2 linked regions of the Drosophila melanogaster genome follow. Changing the gene in region 2 together with the main gene of any one other region gives a genetic interaction. Each region holds a gene or a part of one and is shown on either strand. Other genes may lie near its edges.

What was found. A genetic interaction does not mean that the proteins touch.
Region 1: of Rho1 (region 2) and DAAM, changing one enhances a phenotype caused by changing the other (phenotypic enhancement), as found in Drosophila melanogaster (2 studies listed by BioGRID).

The regions. Positions count from the first base shown.
Region 1 is NC_004354.4:1,303,840-1,311,151, forward strand, and holds the start of DAAM (dishevelled associated activator of morphogenesis), read right to left. Parts: upstream 4,634-7,312; 5' UTR 4,285-4,633; coding exon 4,237-4,284; intron 1,007-4,236; exon of another isoform or gene 927-1,006; intron 522-926; exon of another isoform or gene 265-521; intron 1-264.
Region 2 is NT_033778.4:16,099,318-16,108,978, forward strand, and holds Rho1 (Rho1), read left to right. Parts: upstream 1-3,369; 5' UTR 3,370-3,575; exon of another isoform or gene 3,576-3,632; intron 3,633-3,779; exon of another isoform or gene 3,780-3,991; intron 3,992-4,148; exon of another isoform or gene 4,149-4,293; 5' UTR 4,294-4,301; coding exon 4,302-4,457; intron 4,458-5,715; coding exon 5,716-5,865; intron 5,866-6,399; coding exon 6,400-6,480; intron 6,481-6,542; coding exon 6,543-6,734; 3' UTR 6,735-7,912; downstream 7,913-9,661. Other genes in the region: CG8414 (uncharacterized protein), read right to left, coding at 53-318, 377-2,464, 2,518-2,733, 2,793-3,210; Ric (Ras-related protein interacting with calmodulin), read right to left, coding at 9,440-9,661. UniProt on the Drosophila melanogaster protein: Has a role in regulating actin cytoskeletal organization: required during early development for proper execution of morphogenetic movements of individual cells and groups of cells important for the formation of the embryonic body plan.

The DNA.
Region 1 (7,312 bases), on a different chromosome or scaffold from region 2:
GTAGAAAGCAAAAGCGGAGTTAACCGAAAATCAAAAACCGAAAGCAAAGCCCAAGTATCTTGACCCTCATTAATTCAAGTAAGCCAGCAAGGCATTCGCAAAAAAGGTGAAAAACATAAGAAAAACTTGAAATTTACAGTTTCAGTTTCAGTTTCAGTTTCGATTTCAGTCTCATGTGGCGGCGGGTTTTCAGTTTGGGGATGGGAACTGCAATTAACATACGAAATTTATTTAAATTCAATCTTCATTTCGGACGCGAGTCACCGTCACCATCACCGTCTCCGTCTCCAGCTTCACCTGCAACTCCTCTTGGCTTCTTGGTGCTCGGTGAATGTTTTCACTTTCGTTCGGCATCCCAAAAATCCGAGTCTGTGTAGTCTGTGTAGTATGGAGTCTGAAGTCTGCAGTCTGGGCATCCGCCGGCAACCTGTTTTGGCCTGACTGACTGCCCGCTTACCATGATTATTGTGATTATTGGCTGGCGGTCGAGGGGAAAACTCTGTGGCGCTCGTATCTCGAATCTGAGCGAAACCCCAAAACACACAAATTGAATAGGAATACGAAAACGAAAGTGAAAATGTTTATCGAAAAGGGAAACGGGGAAAAACAAAGCAGAAGATCAGCAAAGCATAGATCGTGCGCTGCCCCATCCCGCATTTCCTAGCACTCTGTCGTCCAGTCAGTCCAGTCAGTTCAATGCCGTAAATTAAGCTGGCAATTTCTTGCTTTGTTTGTCGGTGAAATCTGCCTAACAAAGAAAACTCCTGCCCCTGCCGTGAGTGCGTGGAAAGCGGTTGGACCGTGTTGAGGATGGTTGGGATTGCCACCTCCATTGCCGAGTGGGGCAGCGGGTCAGGGAAAACGAGCTTGACCTTAGGCCCCTGCCGAACGAAACCAATCGCGATTCCAAACTAACTGAACCTCACCTTGTTTTTTCGCGGCGGCTTCTTGACTTCAACTTGCACGGCTGTTTGCATCTTCCTGCCCCAGAACTGGGTTCTCAACTGGGCAAAGTTTTTGGCCGAGATCCGTATCTTATCCAACTCGGTCCAAAATATAGCTATATTTGCCTTGCTTTGCATGTTTACTTGCTTTGACACTGACAATGATACGCCATCCAAGATGCGGAGATACTCAGCGAAAGAGTGGAAGAGCAAGGTGGCGGGGAATCTTATCACAGCTGATGTGATAATTACCCAGAGCAAATACTGAGATACATGGTATTGTACTATATATATGGAACTCCTCGTTTAAGGTGTATTTATCGTTTAGATTTCTTGTTCACATATAATTTAAAAAGAATGTTCATCGATCGCTTTCAGCTCATTTTATATAAACGAGAACCTAATATGTCCCGATATGGTTACCTTTAATTGCTAATTGCTTGGCTTATGTGCCGGACATCCCATCCACATCCGATCCACGAACAAATGCGTTATCAGCTGTCAGATGGGCACTTTCACTCGGAAAAAAAAAGGCGAAAACAAAGGAATTATGCTTTTCCAGTTGATTAGTCGGGTCAGCGGCGGCTAATTCATGTCCGCATAAATTTCAATTCAAATCTCTGACAAACTCTGGAAAGTTTCGGAGCGTAGGTGGCCCGCAAATGGATCGCATTACATGCAGATACTTTGGTATCTATTGCCATTAGGAATGATGAAGTAAGTCAAACAAGACGGCCAGCTGGAGTGGAGTAGAGTGAATTGCATTGGATTGGATTGGATTGGATTGGAGAGCAGCGGTCTCCGAATCCGAATCCAAGTCCAAGTGGATTAAATCGAGCTGGAGTGGGGACTTCACATGCAAATCAGGCTGAGACAGGAAATTATTACACACTTTTCCCAGTCTAGTTTTGGTCATGTGCTGGTGGTGCCTGGTTTCGGTTGCTTTCGCAGCGATTCATTAGCATTGCACGGCTTCCGTATATGGGCTCCGAAAATGTATAAAGTGTTCGTGTGCGGCCAGGCCTATGCCCAATTGCTATAGGGTTATATGGCTATATGGGTCAGAGCTTCCCGTGTCTAGGTAGTGATATCAATCCGTTATCGGGAATCAACTTTCTGTGATGCGGTCACCACAATCGAGGAGACGGGTGGCCGGAGACCTTGGCGGTCTGTCTGGATTTGTCTAGGGTTCGGATTACGGACTATGCCATATTATTATTTCATACACTATAAATACACTATAATGCAATAGATATATTTTTTTTTTTGTAGCAGACTTTGGCATAGCCCAAGAAATACTAGCAGGCCTTGCAGCCTCAAGCTGAAAGTGCCACATATAAATAGCAGGTAATTGGAGGTGAGCAAGTGTGAAGCCACCGGTTGAGATAATTTAACTATCCATCCAATGACTTGGCCCACATTCCAGCTCCAGTGCTCGTGAGAATCGAGTCCGTCTGCTGAATGCCCCCGTATCGCCTCGAACTACTCCGTGGGCTAGGCCAATGTCAGTCTGGCCTAGCTAGCCTAGAGCCTAGAATCCGCCAGCGGCTTGCGTCATAAATAAGGCGGCCACAGGCCAGACGAACCAGTTCGCGAGCGGGTTTGGCGGCAGTTGCAGTTGCAGATGCAGAAGCAAACAGTTGGCCGAGATGCAGATGCTGATGCAGATGCAGATTATGCAACCTGCGCATTTCGTGGAGAAAGCTCAATGGAATTCTAGCGCAGATTGCGGTAGTTGACGTCACAACGGAACTTGCCGTTAATTATTGGTCATTCGTTGGGGATAATCCCTCCAATCGCGAATTATGATAGCCCCCATTCCCTGCCCCTTCCCGTTGCCCAACTCCCTCTAGGCGTCAGTGTGTCGCCAGGAAGTAAACTCAGCGCAGCCCGAAGTGGAGCTACAAGTCATTGAAAACCCACACAAGTAGAGCGTAGGACAGACAAGTGGTATTATGACATTTCCCAACCAGCATAGAGGTGTTGTGTCAGTTGAGTTGGTGTAAAATATGCGATAAATGCCATTGCTATGCTGTGCAGTATTTGTTCTTTTTCCTTTCCAAAGCCATACATACATTTCGATGGACTTCAGTCAGCTGGGTTGCTATAAAGCTATTGCAGTTGCAGTCTTCTAATTTCATGCCGAATCCAAGCCAGGAGCTGCTTCATTCATCGCAACCAATAAGTGCTGGTCGAGAGTGCGAGAATGGGATAGCATGGGATGGGTCTTGAGAGGATCCAGCAGAGGCTCGACCGTTCAGATTGCCCAACTCTTACCCCCCATCGGCATTTCTACACTCGCACACAAGAAGGCAACCGAAAATTATTACTAATTAATTATTGTTGCACAAACAGCAGACGCCTGGCTGCAGTGCACCTCGAGTACTTTCGGTACCTCCAATACCGATCCCATCCCGCCATATAATTTGCCGAATTGGACGTCGGCCACTTGTTTGTTTTTCGTTTGATTTTTGTTTTATGTTTGTTATGCGGCGCGCGGCATTTCGTCAGCTCATTCAATTGAAGCTCATTCAGCCGCACTTAAATCAGGGGCGAAGTGAGCGGGGGAATTGGTGGATTGCGGGATGGCGGCCAATGGGCACTTAATTTCGCTGGAGCGCATTTCACTTTCATTTCCACACAATCAAAATACGTCGAGTACCCGGGCATCGGACATCGGGCATCCGAGCATCGGGGATCGGGGATCGGCGATCGGAGAAGGGGGACTGGGAAAAGTGAGGCGCAAAAATTTCAATTTCATTTTATTTATGAGCGTCTAGGCGACACTTTTGAATGCAAATGACGTTAAATTGTTGGTCAAGTGAGAGCGGACTCTCGCTGCCTATTCCCCCTTTTCCCTGCCCCTCATCTACTTCGCCCCCCCCCCTCGATACGAGGCTCACAGACAGCAGGTGGAAAACCTTAGAGGTGCAGCAGGGAACTGCGTGACGAAACCAAAGCAGTTAAGAGGGACTTACCCTTCAGCCAATAACTTTTCTTCGAAATTGCAAAAGGGGTTGCGAAGTAAAAGCACAGAAGCTAGACAGACTTCCTAACCAAACAAAATAGTTTATGAATATAACAATAGATGTATTAAATGTACAAAGTATTCGAGGCGACAGTGTAGCAAATAGTTTTCACACCATTTTACTGGGTTGCACAAAAAGCGATTCAATTTAACGAAACAACCGAACCGAATTCGTGTAAAGGTCCACTCTTTGGCAGGTTTAAGTGGATCGACCCAGAGACCCACTAACGCCCCCAAAAGCCCAGAGAATCCCTTGGCACTCACCGTGTTGATCTTATCCATGAGGACACTCATTTGATTCATGCTCGACATAATGATACTGCTCTGTAGCACTGGAATTCGAATTCAAAAACTATAACTATAGCGTTGCAAGTCTCTTCTGCCGCGGACTGGGATGCAGCACCAATTCGCACATCACGCACTGCTCATTGCCAATTCACTTGATGCAAAAAAAAATTAATCCGAAGAAAAAAAAAATTTTAAATTGACATACAAAGTGTATTCAAACAGTGTTCGTTCGCTTTGCGAAAAGCACACGCGCGCGCGTATTTCCAATTTCCGATTTAATCAGTTCGACTTCTATATAGCCTATAGCCTTAGGTTTTGCTTTCCATAGCCGGTCTCTGTCTGCCGGATGACTTGACCCGCTCGCGTGCGTTCTTATCGACGGCTGGCAGCGCATTGAACGCTCGCCGCTCAAGACGTGCCCACGGCAGCGGCGACTTGGCCAAAAGCAACACGACGAGCACGAGCACGTCGCCGCGGCAAGCCGAAGAAGTTGGCCAAGACAGAGTGGCAGCGACAGGTGCCAGCAGAGAGCCCGAGAGCCGGAGCGGGCTCCAACGCGAACGCGAAACCGGTCGACGGCAGAAAGCGGGCTCTGAGCCTATTCTGTGCCTAATGCCGCAGACCCCACTGTGTCCCAGTCTCAGTCGCACTCCCGCCCGCACACCGCTCGCCTTGGCTCGCGGATTGGGGCCGCCTTGGTGGATAGTGGGTGGTGGAAGGTGCTGCATTTCCATGTGCGTGCGGGGTGCATTCCTGGGGTATTTATGAAATCACAAGGGCTGAGACACTTGAAGAGATATCGAGGTAATTATGGGTGTGAAACGAAGAGCTTACTGCTACGAGCATTTAGAAGACCAAGCGGAGCCTAAGGTCCACGATACTGGAATACCACCTGCGATTCATTCCCAAATGCAATCCAACCAGTGATAGTTTAACTTCGAAAGGAGACAACTAGCCGACCAATGTAAAGGAGTTGGAAGCATGAAACCAAGCCAAGAAACAATTGGACAGCCGAACTGTCTATCGAACAACTTAATTAGCTCTGGCAAATCAGCCGCACACAACAGACAATTGTTAGTCCGCTCGATAAGTTGTTCGGCAACATGCACATAGCCATGTTCACCGGTAACTTTGGCAATTGTGGGCTCAAAGCCGCCAGAGTCGAAGTCAAAGTCAAAAACAATTTAAGGTCGTCACAAGTAAAGTTTGTTATTCCCTCTCTTTTGTTTCGATTTTGCAAGTGTCATGCAAAAAATAAAATATCATGGCAATACCGCCGTGTAAAAACACCGCCTCTGCCCCTCTATCTCCACTTCCCGATTTTCAGCAACGATTCTCATCATCTCTTTTTTTTATGTAACGGTCCTTATTAGAGCCAATGTTGTTGTCTTATACCGACGATCATTGGCCAAATACCGAATGCTGACGGTCATTCAATTTGGAGTCGACGGCATGAGGTGGCCATCCGTTCTTTAGCTGTTTTGGCTGGATATTCGCGCCTTTTTTTTTTAGCTTTTTGATACCCTTAACAGTTGAAGAGGCAAATGCTATTATTATTTTAAAACCAATTTGATGGTGTAACCATCTTCTACCACGTCTAAATTTTGATCGTTGAAAATAGAAGAGCGACTATTCAATGATGTATCATACTTATATTTATGGGCTGTAAAGCGCACTCATTTTCCGATTTTCTAGACCTATCGAACATTTACCAACTGCCTCCTCGGCAGCGAACCGTCTTCAATGACTTCTTACTCACCTGTTGTTGCTAATTGGCTTCGTTGTTGGGATTAGTCTTTGGCTGCAAGTGGAAAAGAGGAGAACGGCGAGAAGCAAATTAGTAGGAATCCGTCATAGTCATAGGTAGTCGGAGTGGTAGTCTCCCTATTGATTAATGCAATCCTCACAGCCCGAGCCAAATCGAATCGACTCTCCCATTTCCCATCTCCCATTTGCTACTCGAAGGGCTTTTTATGGGTGTTGTGCCAACTCATCCGAAAGCCACCACGCTTCGATCGCAATTACTTGGCCATTATGTGATGCAGCCAGACATAATTTCCCATTAGCAGCTTTTTGTCGATGGGCCAAGAAAACGTGAGCATGAGGCAGTTCGTAATCACTCAAAGAACCCACTTCATTTCCCTGGCTAATCTGATTTGGTTCGCCCCTATCTCCAGGCACAACCTCTGCCCAGCCCCTTTTCCATTTCCAGCTAATCGCAGATGCTCCTACTTCATCAAGTCTGCCTCCGCCCGAAATCTTGTAAAATCATATCCATATCATTTTTGAGCTTGAGCTGACGAAATCCTAAAGTACAGAGAAGGTGTTTAAAAACATTGGTTGAAAGTGAAATTTTGCCCACGGCCGCGTCGTCTTCAATTTGTTTATTTTCGGCTGTTTAAATGAGTTTTCAATTTCACTAGAAAGCATGAAAGTACGGCCTTTTAATATTCTTGCCGGGCAGAAATCACAGCGAAATGGAGAAATACACAAACAATTTATCCGCCTGTTGGCACCTGACATGAATGAGTCAAACACAAGTGTTTGCTCGCCCCGTCCTTTTCCTTCGGACTCTCTCTCTCTCTCTTGCGCACGCCCACTAAATCACAAGTGTGAGTGACGAGTGGAAAGGGTGGAAAGGGTAGGGTTAGGGGTGCAGGTGAAGGGCGCGATAACTGATGTGATGCGGCTAATCTGCTTGCCAGTTTCCTGAGCCTTCTAGGGGAAAATCAAAAGACTTAAGCAACGAACTTGGGGAACAACGCTAAGGAAACAACAAAGCTGAGTAAAATAAATCTCTCGATGAAAGTGTATTATAATAATCACTGACAGCTGCCTCTCCCAGCGGCGGATCACCCGCATCTGTGCCACTCGCTCGCACATCCGTCAATTGGCCCGACTCTTTCCGGCTTACGGATTTCTGATTACGGCTCAGCGGCCCGCGGCTTCTTTGGCCAAAACGGGCGAGGAGTTGGACGAGCGACTCTGACAAATTGATATGCACATTCGGCGACATTAGCATATGTCGCGTATGCCTTAATTAACTATTCCG
Region 2 (9,661 bases):
CTAACTTTATTTACAATGTTATCCGATTGCGATTGCTACAGTAAGCTCAGTTTTAGTTTCGTTGATTCGCTGGTACTCCCAGAAAGGCTGGCGCTCGATGGTAGATCTGCTGAATACTCTTCGAAGATTTCGAATCGTCAAGGATGAACACGAAGGGCACACTGCTGGACACACCTTGGCCCTGATCCCGAAGGAAGCCCTGCGGCAGGGACTGTTCCCCGCCGAGGATAAGACAATCCACCAGGGACATCTTTTGTAGCGGCATTGCTGGCACCAGGTATAACTCCTTGCGCTCGTAGTCGATGGCGCGAACCACACCTAAAAGAATTTTGGAATTCAATTAATAAGCCACAAAAGAACGTGAATGTGTACAAACCTATTCCCAAACATTGGGGCAGACCTGCTCCGTGATGGCACAGATATACTACATTAGCCTCCATGCCTCGAATCAGTTCTTCGCGCGAGTAATTCTTGCTGGTGGGATGCAGGATTTTCAGGGATTCCAAAGACACTCCCAACGGCTGGCAGTCTGTAAGAGATTTGGCATTTCCAGTCAGGCAGGAACTGAGACGTGCCAGAAGATTGGAGTACCGCATGTCCTTGGCGCTGAGACTCCAAGTTCCTTTTTCCCTTGCAGGCACTGCACTTATCAGCTTATGGAGTGTGTATTTTGGTATTTCATTGATCTTGAACTCCTCCGCAGAGTATATAATTGGTTTTATCTGCGACAGACTGTTCCGGTCGAGGACAGAATCAAAGTTATTGATTGGAATGGGACTGGCAATCTGTACAAGATCCGTGGGACGAATGCGATCCACCAGCAGAGCCATCAATTCGATACCAAATCCCTTATTATAGCCCATCGTATTTATCAGCCAAGGAATATTTGAATACTTGGCATCGTTCTGAATGTTTTGGACTAGCTGAATAACTGCTCGGGCATACTGCTCTGCGCACAAGACAATGTTGGTGTGGCCCACGACAATGGCATGTTCCGGCTGCCTGTTGTACAGGAAGCCCGGTCCCAGAAGGGGCTCATCAATTACGGTGCAAGAAATAGTCTGGGGTACAAATATTTCCGGCTGACCAATGTCCAGGTCGATGAGCAGCATGGATGGGAATTGACCCAGATTTCGGTTGATGAGGTAACGCAATAAACTAGACTTTCCGACGCCCTTACCACCGGCTACGATTATTCGGCTCGTTGCATGCATTTGTAACTTATTCCAAACCTGCGGAACTTGGAGAGTGCGACTTTGATCGCTCGATTGAATCAGACAGTGCAACAGGGTTTCACTTTGGCCAAATGGTCGATTGGAAGAATTGACAAGTGGGAATACATTTTGCGCCATGTGCTTGCCAAAGGTATCGACGAGCTGCTGGGCACTTGTGTTTCGGTGGAGCAGTACTATTGCATTCGTCTGACGCTGAAAGCTGGTCTTAATCCTGTCTAGCTGGGCGCGTGTAAAGTTCTTGTTGAGTTCTTCCCAATTTACCTCATCTTTTACAGGTTTTTTAGTCTTGGTTGGCGAAATAGATACCCAATTAAGGCCTTTAGGAGAATAAATTGTGATTGCTTCCTGCCTGCGTGCTCTGTAACCATTTACTGATATTTGACCACAGAGTAGAGTCAACACTAGTGTGCCATAAACTTCGAGGTCCTCCTTAATCACGGCCAGCACATGATTGCTCTTCAGACTGTTCTCAAAGACGCTAAGCTCAGTGGGATTCGCTTGCGGATTTCTGTAAAACGGGACATCGCTTGGTTGGAGATAATTTTCCTTTTCTGGTGTTACAACTTCAGGCAGTGATACCTCATCATTCTCTTCGGTTTCAATTGCAACTTCAGACTCCTTCTTTGGGGGCACACTGCTTAAGTTTTTTACAACAATATCCATAACACTTGACTGTTCAATACGTTCTTGCTTTTTTTCCACAGGCGGATCGTCGAAGATTTCCTCTATAATAAGCGGCTCTCTTTGCATACCCACAGGTGGATGATCGAAGAATCCCTCAATGTCAGGTGGCTCATAAGTTGAATCGAGGTCGTCGGTGTCGAAGATATCGCTTCCGAATTCTTCACTATCGCTGTCACTAACATCCTCCATATCGCTATATTCACTGTAGAAATCTCCATCACTATCATAGTCTGCGCTGCTTGTGTCTTCACTGTCAGACTCTTCGCTGTCAAATTCCTCCGATCCAAAGTCATCGCTATCTTCTGGCTCATAATCAATGTCATCTTCGTCGCTGTCAGTTTCTTCCTGTGCACTTTTAAATACCTTAATCTTTCGAACTGTTCCACTGCCATCCCCATCCAACAAAAGAGGTTGGTATTCATCGTGTTCAAAAGGAGGAAGAATATCTGATAACTTGTATTCGGGGCCTTTGCATTTGACCTTAAAAATCTTTGGATCTTTAAGAAATGTCTCGTCTATTTCTTCAACTACATCGTTTTCAGAGTCTAAAAAACATAGTTTAAGTTAAGAAACAAGAGTAATATTAAAAATTCCTTACCACTTTCAATTAAATAATCGTCTTCTTCACTCCAATCATCCAATGAATTCATTTCAATGTCACTTGTTTCCGCTGCAGTACCAATTATCTCTACTACTTTACCATTTTGTACGACCTTCATTGAGCTCTTGTTTCCATTTACCTTATGTTTCTTAGATAAACTTGCTTCTTTTGTTTTATTTGGCGTCTTGACTTTGGTTTTCTTAGGAGCTAATTCTGAAAAATACATATATATTAAAATAAAATGAGGTTGTAATTCTGGATCTAATGCATACCATTTATACTATGAACCTTGGGAATAGGAAGCTTAGCACTTTTGCTTGTTGCTGCAGATTTTTTAGCTGCAACATTTGAGGATTTATTTACAGGATTCTTTTTGGGTAGGGTATTATCCTTTTTAAGCCTCTTCTGGGATGGTGAACTGTCTGGATTCGACACATTATTGGAAAGAGGTCTCTTTGCGCCGGCTGTCTTATTTTTCTTGGATTTTTTGGGCGACTCCATCTGGGCTTTTTGAATCATTGTTTCCGAAATCTTTGCAGGATTGCTGGCCACCTTTGAAATAACTTTTTTCTTTGGAACAGCAGGTGGGTGTTGTGGTTTTTCCGGCTTACGGCGACCAGAGGCTAGTTCTCGCTGTTCGGTGAGCTGGAAGCTCAGTTTCATTTCTTTCAGAATATGTTCGTCAAGCATTCCTTTTCAGTTTTTTGCTGAACTACCAATACTTCCCGGGCCATGCGACCGCAAATTTAAGAAGAAGAGCAAGAATAACATATGTGCGGTGTTACCAGTCGTGGTCGGTCATGGGAATAACGCGCACAGAGTTGCCATCGATGAGAACTATCGATTGGGTTAATAACAGCCCTGCGCTCGAAGGCGTTGGTTGGTCATCGAGCGTTCATCCCGCTACCGAGAAATGAAACGGATGAACATTGTTCATCGTCATTTTGCATGGGAAAAAATCGTCGAGTTCAATTCGAATTTTTGTAATTGCATTAACTTTTATACGATATAGCTAAACGGTAGACGCATAAGAATCAACAAATTTGTGCCATTTTGTAAGCAAATTAAGTGTCGAATTCGTGCTGAGTGTTGTGAAATCACCAATATAAATTGTAAGTGGCCGAAAGAGCAGAAGTGAAAAAATTCCACACAGCACGCACACAAATGCACGCACGCCCAGCCAGAGGCGAACAGACACACGCACACACACACACACACAGCCATACCGAGAGTGGATGATGAGATGTTTTTGGAATAAAGTGTGAGCGGGACGGGCGCGGAGAGAGGAGTTTCCTGGAGTGTTGGAGAGAGGGGTGGAGAAGCGGGCGGCCCTATGACGCGACCAAAATGAAAATGCGAATGCGAAAAACCGTAAAGAAAAACGGGAAAAACTCGGCTAACGGACAATGGACAATGGCCAGATAAGAAAGAACCCCACACTTTATACTATTAGATCGCCGTCCAGCCGCAAGTATGACTAAGTGTGTGCGCGAGCGGGAGAGGGCTATCGGAAAAGAGAGCGAGCGCGCGAGTGTATTTGTGCTGTGTGTCCACCAGTGTGCGTGTGACTGTATGCGAGTGTGTGTGTGGCTTTTTCATTTTGATAATTTTTTGAACAGGCGCTCGTTCAGTTTTCGCGAATATATAAAACAGAACGGCTGACTCGGATTCGGAATCGAAAATTGTATTCGGATTCAGAATCGGACTCGGAATCCTCGGGCATCCGCTGCACTTGCATTGCATCTAGCTACAGTTTGATTTTGCCTTTTGCAGAACTTCCAATGACGACGATTCGCAAGAAATTGGTAATTGTCGGCGACGGTGCCTGCGGTAAAACTTGCCTTCTGATTGTCTTCAGCAAAGATCAGTTCCCCGAGGTCTATGTGCCCACCGTATTCGAGAATTATGTGGCCGACATCGAGGTGGATGGCAAACAGGTAAGCCCCTTTTCCCGGACAGGCCCGCCCCTCCCCTAACTACCCGTCCCGTCCACCACTCTGAATGCCACCCCCAACCGGTGGCTGACCCCCCTCCCCTGATAACCCCACCCTGCCATCCAAGTGATAATCGTCTGATCTCGTTTTATAATTTGTGTGCATTCTCAATTCATTCCGTTTTTCAAGTGCGCGTATCCTCCTTACACTTTCCACCCGCCTCTGTGTGTGTGTGTGTGTGTGTGTGTGTGTGTGCGGGTGTGTGTTCCCATGGGTGTGTGTTTATTGTTCTCTTGTTTGTGCCACCCACAACTTCACCCACACCTTGGTCGTTGTATTTCCTTTTCTTCGCCTGTAAAATGAAATGAGTCAATATCGCCTCATGCCCACAGACGCATCCATAAATAAAGGTGTCTGGAAAAGCAAAAGAAAAATTAAGATCATTTTTGGTTAAGTGGAGTGCAAATTTGGATTTTTCCGAAGAATTCAAAGTTTTGATAGCAGTGATTAAGTCACACTTGGGCACATTTCCCCACACTTACACGCACACATGCTCAACAGAGAGTTGGCAGCACACACACACACACAGAAGTAGTGCTGCTCCCTTCCTTCCGCTCGTTTTCTTTTCTTTTTATTTTGTATTTGTCTTATACAAGTCCGTTGCGCACATACAGTTTAATGCGTTGCGCCGCCCCCCGCTCTTTCTGCTGCTCTCTCGGGCGCTCTCACTCTTACTCTTTCTCCCTGCCTACCTGTACTCTCTTCTAAGGGGGGGGAGCGCTCTCCCGCTCCACCGCGCACTCCCTTACTCTATGGAATGTAATGTGCGTTTTCCATTGGGGCATCAAGTCATGATTTGGCTATATGTTCGTTCATATATTCCATTTGGGATCTACAGTATTTTCAGGCGCTTTTTTTCGAAATAAACACTGTGTGTTTGCCTTTGCTGCGCAATATGGCGGGTTTTCAATTTTCAGTTTCTGTTTGTGTTTCTGTTTGGATAGCGTTTACATACACACAAGTTCACGTCATTCCACTTCGCCTCGCTTCGATGTGATTAATTCGTTTGGCATTTCCGTCAAGTTCCTTGCTCACACTCTCGTACTCGCACTCATGCTATCTTCAACTCGAACTTGTCCCATTCTCCTCCGAGCCCGCATCGCACCGTCCCGTGCCACAAAAAGCCCCATCTATCTATAACCCTGACGACACCGCAACTGCAAGCGTAACTCTCAATCATAATCCGCATCCGATTCTCCAGGTGGAGCTGGCCTTGTGGGATACGGCCGGGCAGGAGGACTACGACAGACTACGACCGCTGAGCTATCCCGACACTGACGTCATACTGATGTGTTTCTCAGTGGATTCACCCGATTCGCTAGAAAATATTCCTGAAAAATGGACCCCAGAGGTGAGTTTAACTGGAATTACAGAACAGTTTCTATCAGACGATCGTAAACAAGTATGGTACTATATATATATATACTATACGGAACTAACAAGTCTAGACAAAATATGTTTTTAATTTTTATGTAATGATGCAAATTTGGAAAAAGTTGAACTTTTAACTCCAGTTAAAATATATTAAACATTTTTGAAGTTATCGAATGCATTTGCTTATGATATGGAATCTTTAAGACTATGCATCTCTGTGTTCTTGTTTATGTCATTGAAGCTATCTGAAAGACTGGTTTTGGTTTAGAACGAGGAAAGTTTAATAGAATTGTTGGTTATTTCTAGTTTAATCACTAAAAATAGTCTGCTATGAGCCAATTTGCTTTGACTTTCTGAATCATTTCCTTACTTCTCAGCCTTTAATTTATAATGATAGATATAGATAAGAAGAAAGTAAGTGGTTCCCAATTACGAATTACTTGTTTTTGCAGTTCGACTATATGGAATCTGATATCAAAATATGATACTAATCCTTACTACATTATTGCAGGTCAAACACTTTTGTCCAAATGTTCCAATCATTTTGGTAGGAAATAAGAAAGATTTGCGAAATGATCCCAACACAATTCGGGTACGTATACGCGCTGTTGAACGAGGTGAACTTGCAGCACTAAACTAAACTTGATTTTACAGGATCTAGCAAAAATGAAGCAGGAGCCGGTGAAGCCGCAGGAGGGTCGCGCCATGGCCGAGAAGATTAATGCCTTTGCCTATTTGGAGTGTTCGGCTAAGTCCAAGGAGGGTGTGCGAGATGTTTTCGAGACGGCAACTAGGGCCGCGCTGCAAGTCAAAAAGAGGAAGAAGACCAGATGCCTTTTGCTCTAAAAGAGCAAATCAACAACATGAAAATCTTTACCACACACACACACAGCAAAAACAACAGCATAAACACACACAAACACACATACACACCTTTTACAACAATAACGAGCTGAACAACAACCACTCAACAACAACATCAAGAACAACCAGAACATCGGATACACGAAGCTGCACCACCACCCAACCAGCAACAAACATGAGCAGAAAACAGAGAGCTTGAGCTAGAAGATCAGCGGAGGAGGGATGCAGCGAGATATAAGGGAAGGCAGCACCAAGTAGAATGTCAAATGCGGATTTGATTTTATATACAGTCTAGTGTAGTTATAAACCGAAGTAAACAACAGTAATAACTCTGGCATTATTATTTGTAAAAACTAGGGCAGAGCAGATCAATCAGTCAGCCACTGCAAGCAAAAAATATATATCGATATATGTAAACATATTCAAGTTGTGTCCGTTTCTGTCCACCCCCTCCTCCTAGATGTATGTTATTATTTCGTTAACTGTGTTGTCAAGTGTAGAGTCGGCTGTGGCTGGACGAGATTGTGTCGTATGCGAGGGTGAGTGAGTCAGGTGAATCAGTGGAATTAGGAACAGAATCGGAAACGGAATCGGATGTTGGATCCCGGGGTCCAAGGAGGTCGTAGGCGTCAAGATGAGAGTTATGTTCCCATTAAATCTATCAAATACAGAGAGACCAGGCCGCCAATAGGAGTTGGAAGCGAAACTACATTACAAGAGCCGAACTAAACACAAAACAAAACAAAACAAAAACGATAAATGTTTATTTAACTAAACGTAAGCCACAAATGAGATGCATTCAGTTTTCGCGTGGGAGATGCTAAGAGGGAAAATTTTTGATGAAGTGAAAAACTATTTCGAGCGCATTAAGCGAGTTTTTAATATTTGTACTTTGCATTAAAACGAGTGGAAAACATAAAAAAAAAAAGATACTACAAAACAACCAAACAACTATATGAAGAGTATTTTATGATTTTATAAAATACGATTATACATATAATTATACTATACAGTACATATGTGTATGTCTCTTTTTTTGTATTTTGTACCGTCAATCGTGTAATTCTCACACAGAAGTTGAAAAACTCGAAGATGCATCAGATACAACCAAACTATATTATACTTATGAATAAACAGTACATTTGATCTACTCTTGGTTTAACTAACTGTTTTCTTATTTGGCCGGGCATCGAATTTTATTAGGCTAAGATAATGGATTTAAATCCGGGGAATACCCGCCCTTTAAAGTCAAAACACTTATCTTTAACGGGGTTAAAAAAATCTTTATTGAGGGTATTGTTTTTGTTTATTTTGTGCTTTTGTATTTAATTTTTTTTTTTACATTTAAAATGTACATAACATTATGAATCAAAATGTTTTGGTTTTTCATCGATTAGGTATTAGGTTTCACAATATTATTCCCGAACAGGTATGTCGTTTTCGAAACAACATGGACACGACACATTGCTTTGAACATCTAGTTCCCAAGCCTTTTCTCTTAAAACGTACTTTTTAATCGCTTAACTTTCGCGGCGAAAGCAATTCTATTATATTTCTACCCGCATTTGATTCGTTTTCGTGTTGGAGCTGTTGTTTTTCTTTTTTTCGTCAGTCGATCTGTTTGGTTCGAACGGTTGCAGGATTCGCAATAACAATTAATTATTAGTAATTATGGGTAGTCCATTCAACTGTTTTTTGGGATCATGTAACAAACAGAGTAATTAAAGCCGTGTTAGTATTTTGTTTCCGGTGATGCAGTTAACATTGATGAGAGGAACTCATGGTGATTGCTTAGAGAACGTGATGTGTGGTTTCTTGTGGTAAAAGTAATCAACAGATTTCGTTAAACTAATAATAAATAAACTTAGGCGTAACACGTGTGTCCTTAACAATATAAACAATAGACTTTTCTCAAACTTAAACAACAAATGCATCGGCTGTCGTGGACTTAAATTATCAATTTGGGCTTGGATCTGAAATGAACGCACATTCTCATTCATATTTCATAATTTGCAATGTTCCCGCGTTTTACATACTTCTTAGGTCGATCGATCGATTTATAATATTAGTATACATTAAATTCAACATTTATTCGATTAGTTAAATGTGTGGCTCGTGTAACGTATGTCATGTGCGTGTATTCTGGGTAAATACGTACATACATAAGTTTAAAAATCCTCCAATTCTCTGCCCTTCGCACCTGGCAATTGGCTTTTGGGTTAATCTCCTGGCTAGGATTCAGAGTTGTTCAGATTGTTAGTGGGGGAAGACTCGACCCCTCGATCTTGCTGAATTTAAATGCTTTTGAGCTTTAGCCAATTGCCACACTTGCTTAATCGCTCTCGTCTAGGAATCAACATTAGTAATATTTACTACATAAACATATGTACGTGCATTGTTAATATGTATCTTTTGGATCGGTGCTTAAACGTATTGATATACTCTATCGCTGATCTACTGCCTCGCTATCCTTTCCGGCCAACAACAAGTACTTTAAATAGTTTCCATAACAAATAATAAATAAACCACTGTGGCCATAACAATTAGTTATCTGCTCCTCGATCGGTTAATTTCTCTTTTGTATGTTGTATCTGATGGGTATGTGCTATATACAAAATATAGCAAACAAAAGTTACTTGGTTTTTGTGGTTAATATTGCACTCATTTCAAGGAATCCGCCTCCTGGTCTAGTTAAGGTTTCGTCTGCGCCGGAAAACCAATGCGAAAATGGATCGGATGCGCCACCAGCGACTTCGTCGCCCCGTGTGAATCTTTTCCGAATTGGAGTCCGTGCCCAGGGCCTTGTGCATTTCCTTGCGTCGAATCTCGCGGACCAACGTGTAGAATGCCTCGTCGATGTAATGACGCAGTGCAGCCGATGTCTCAAAAAACGGGCAGCCGAACTGGTT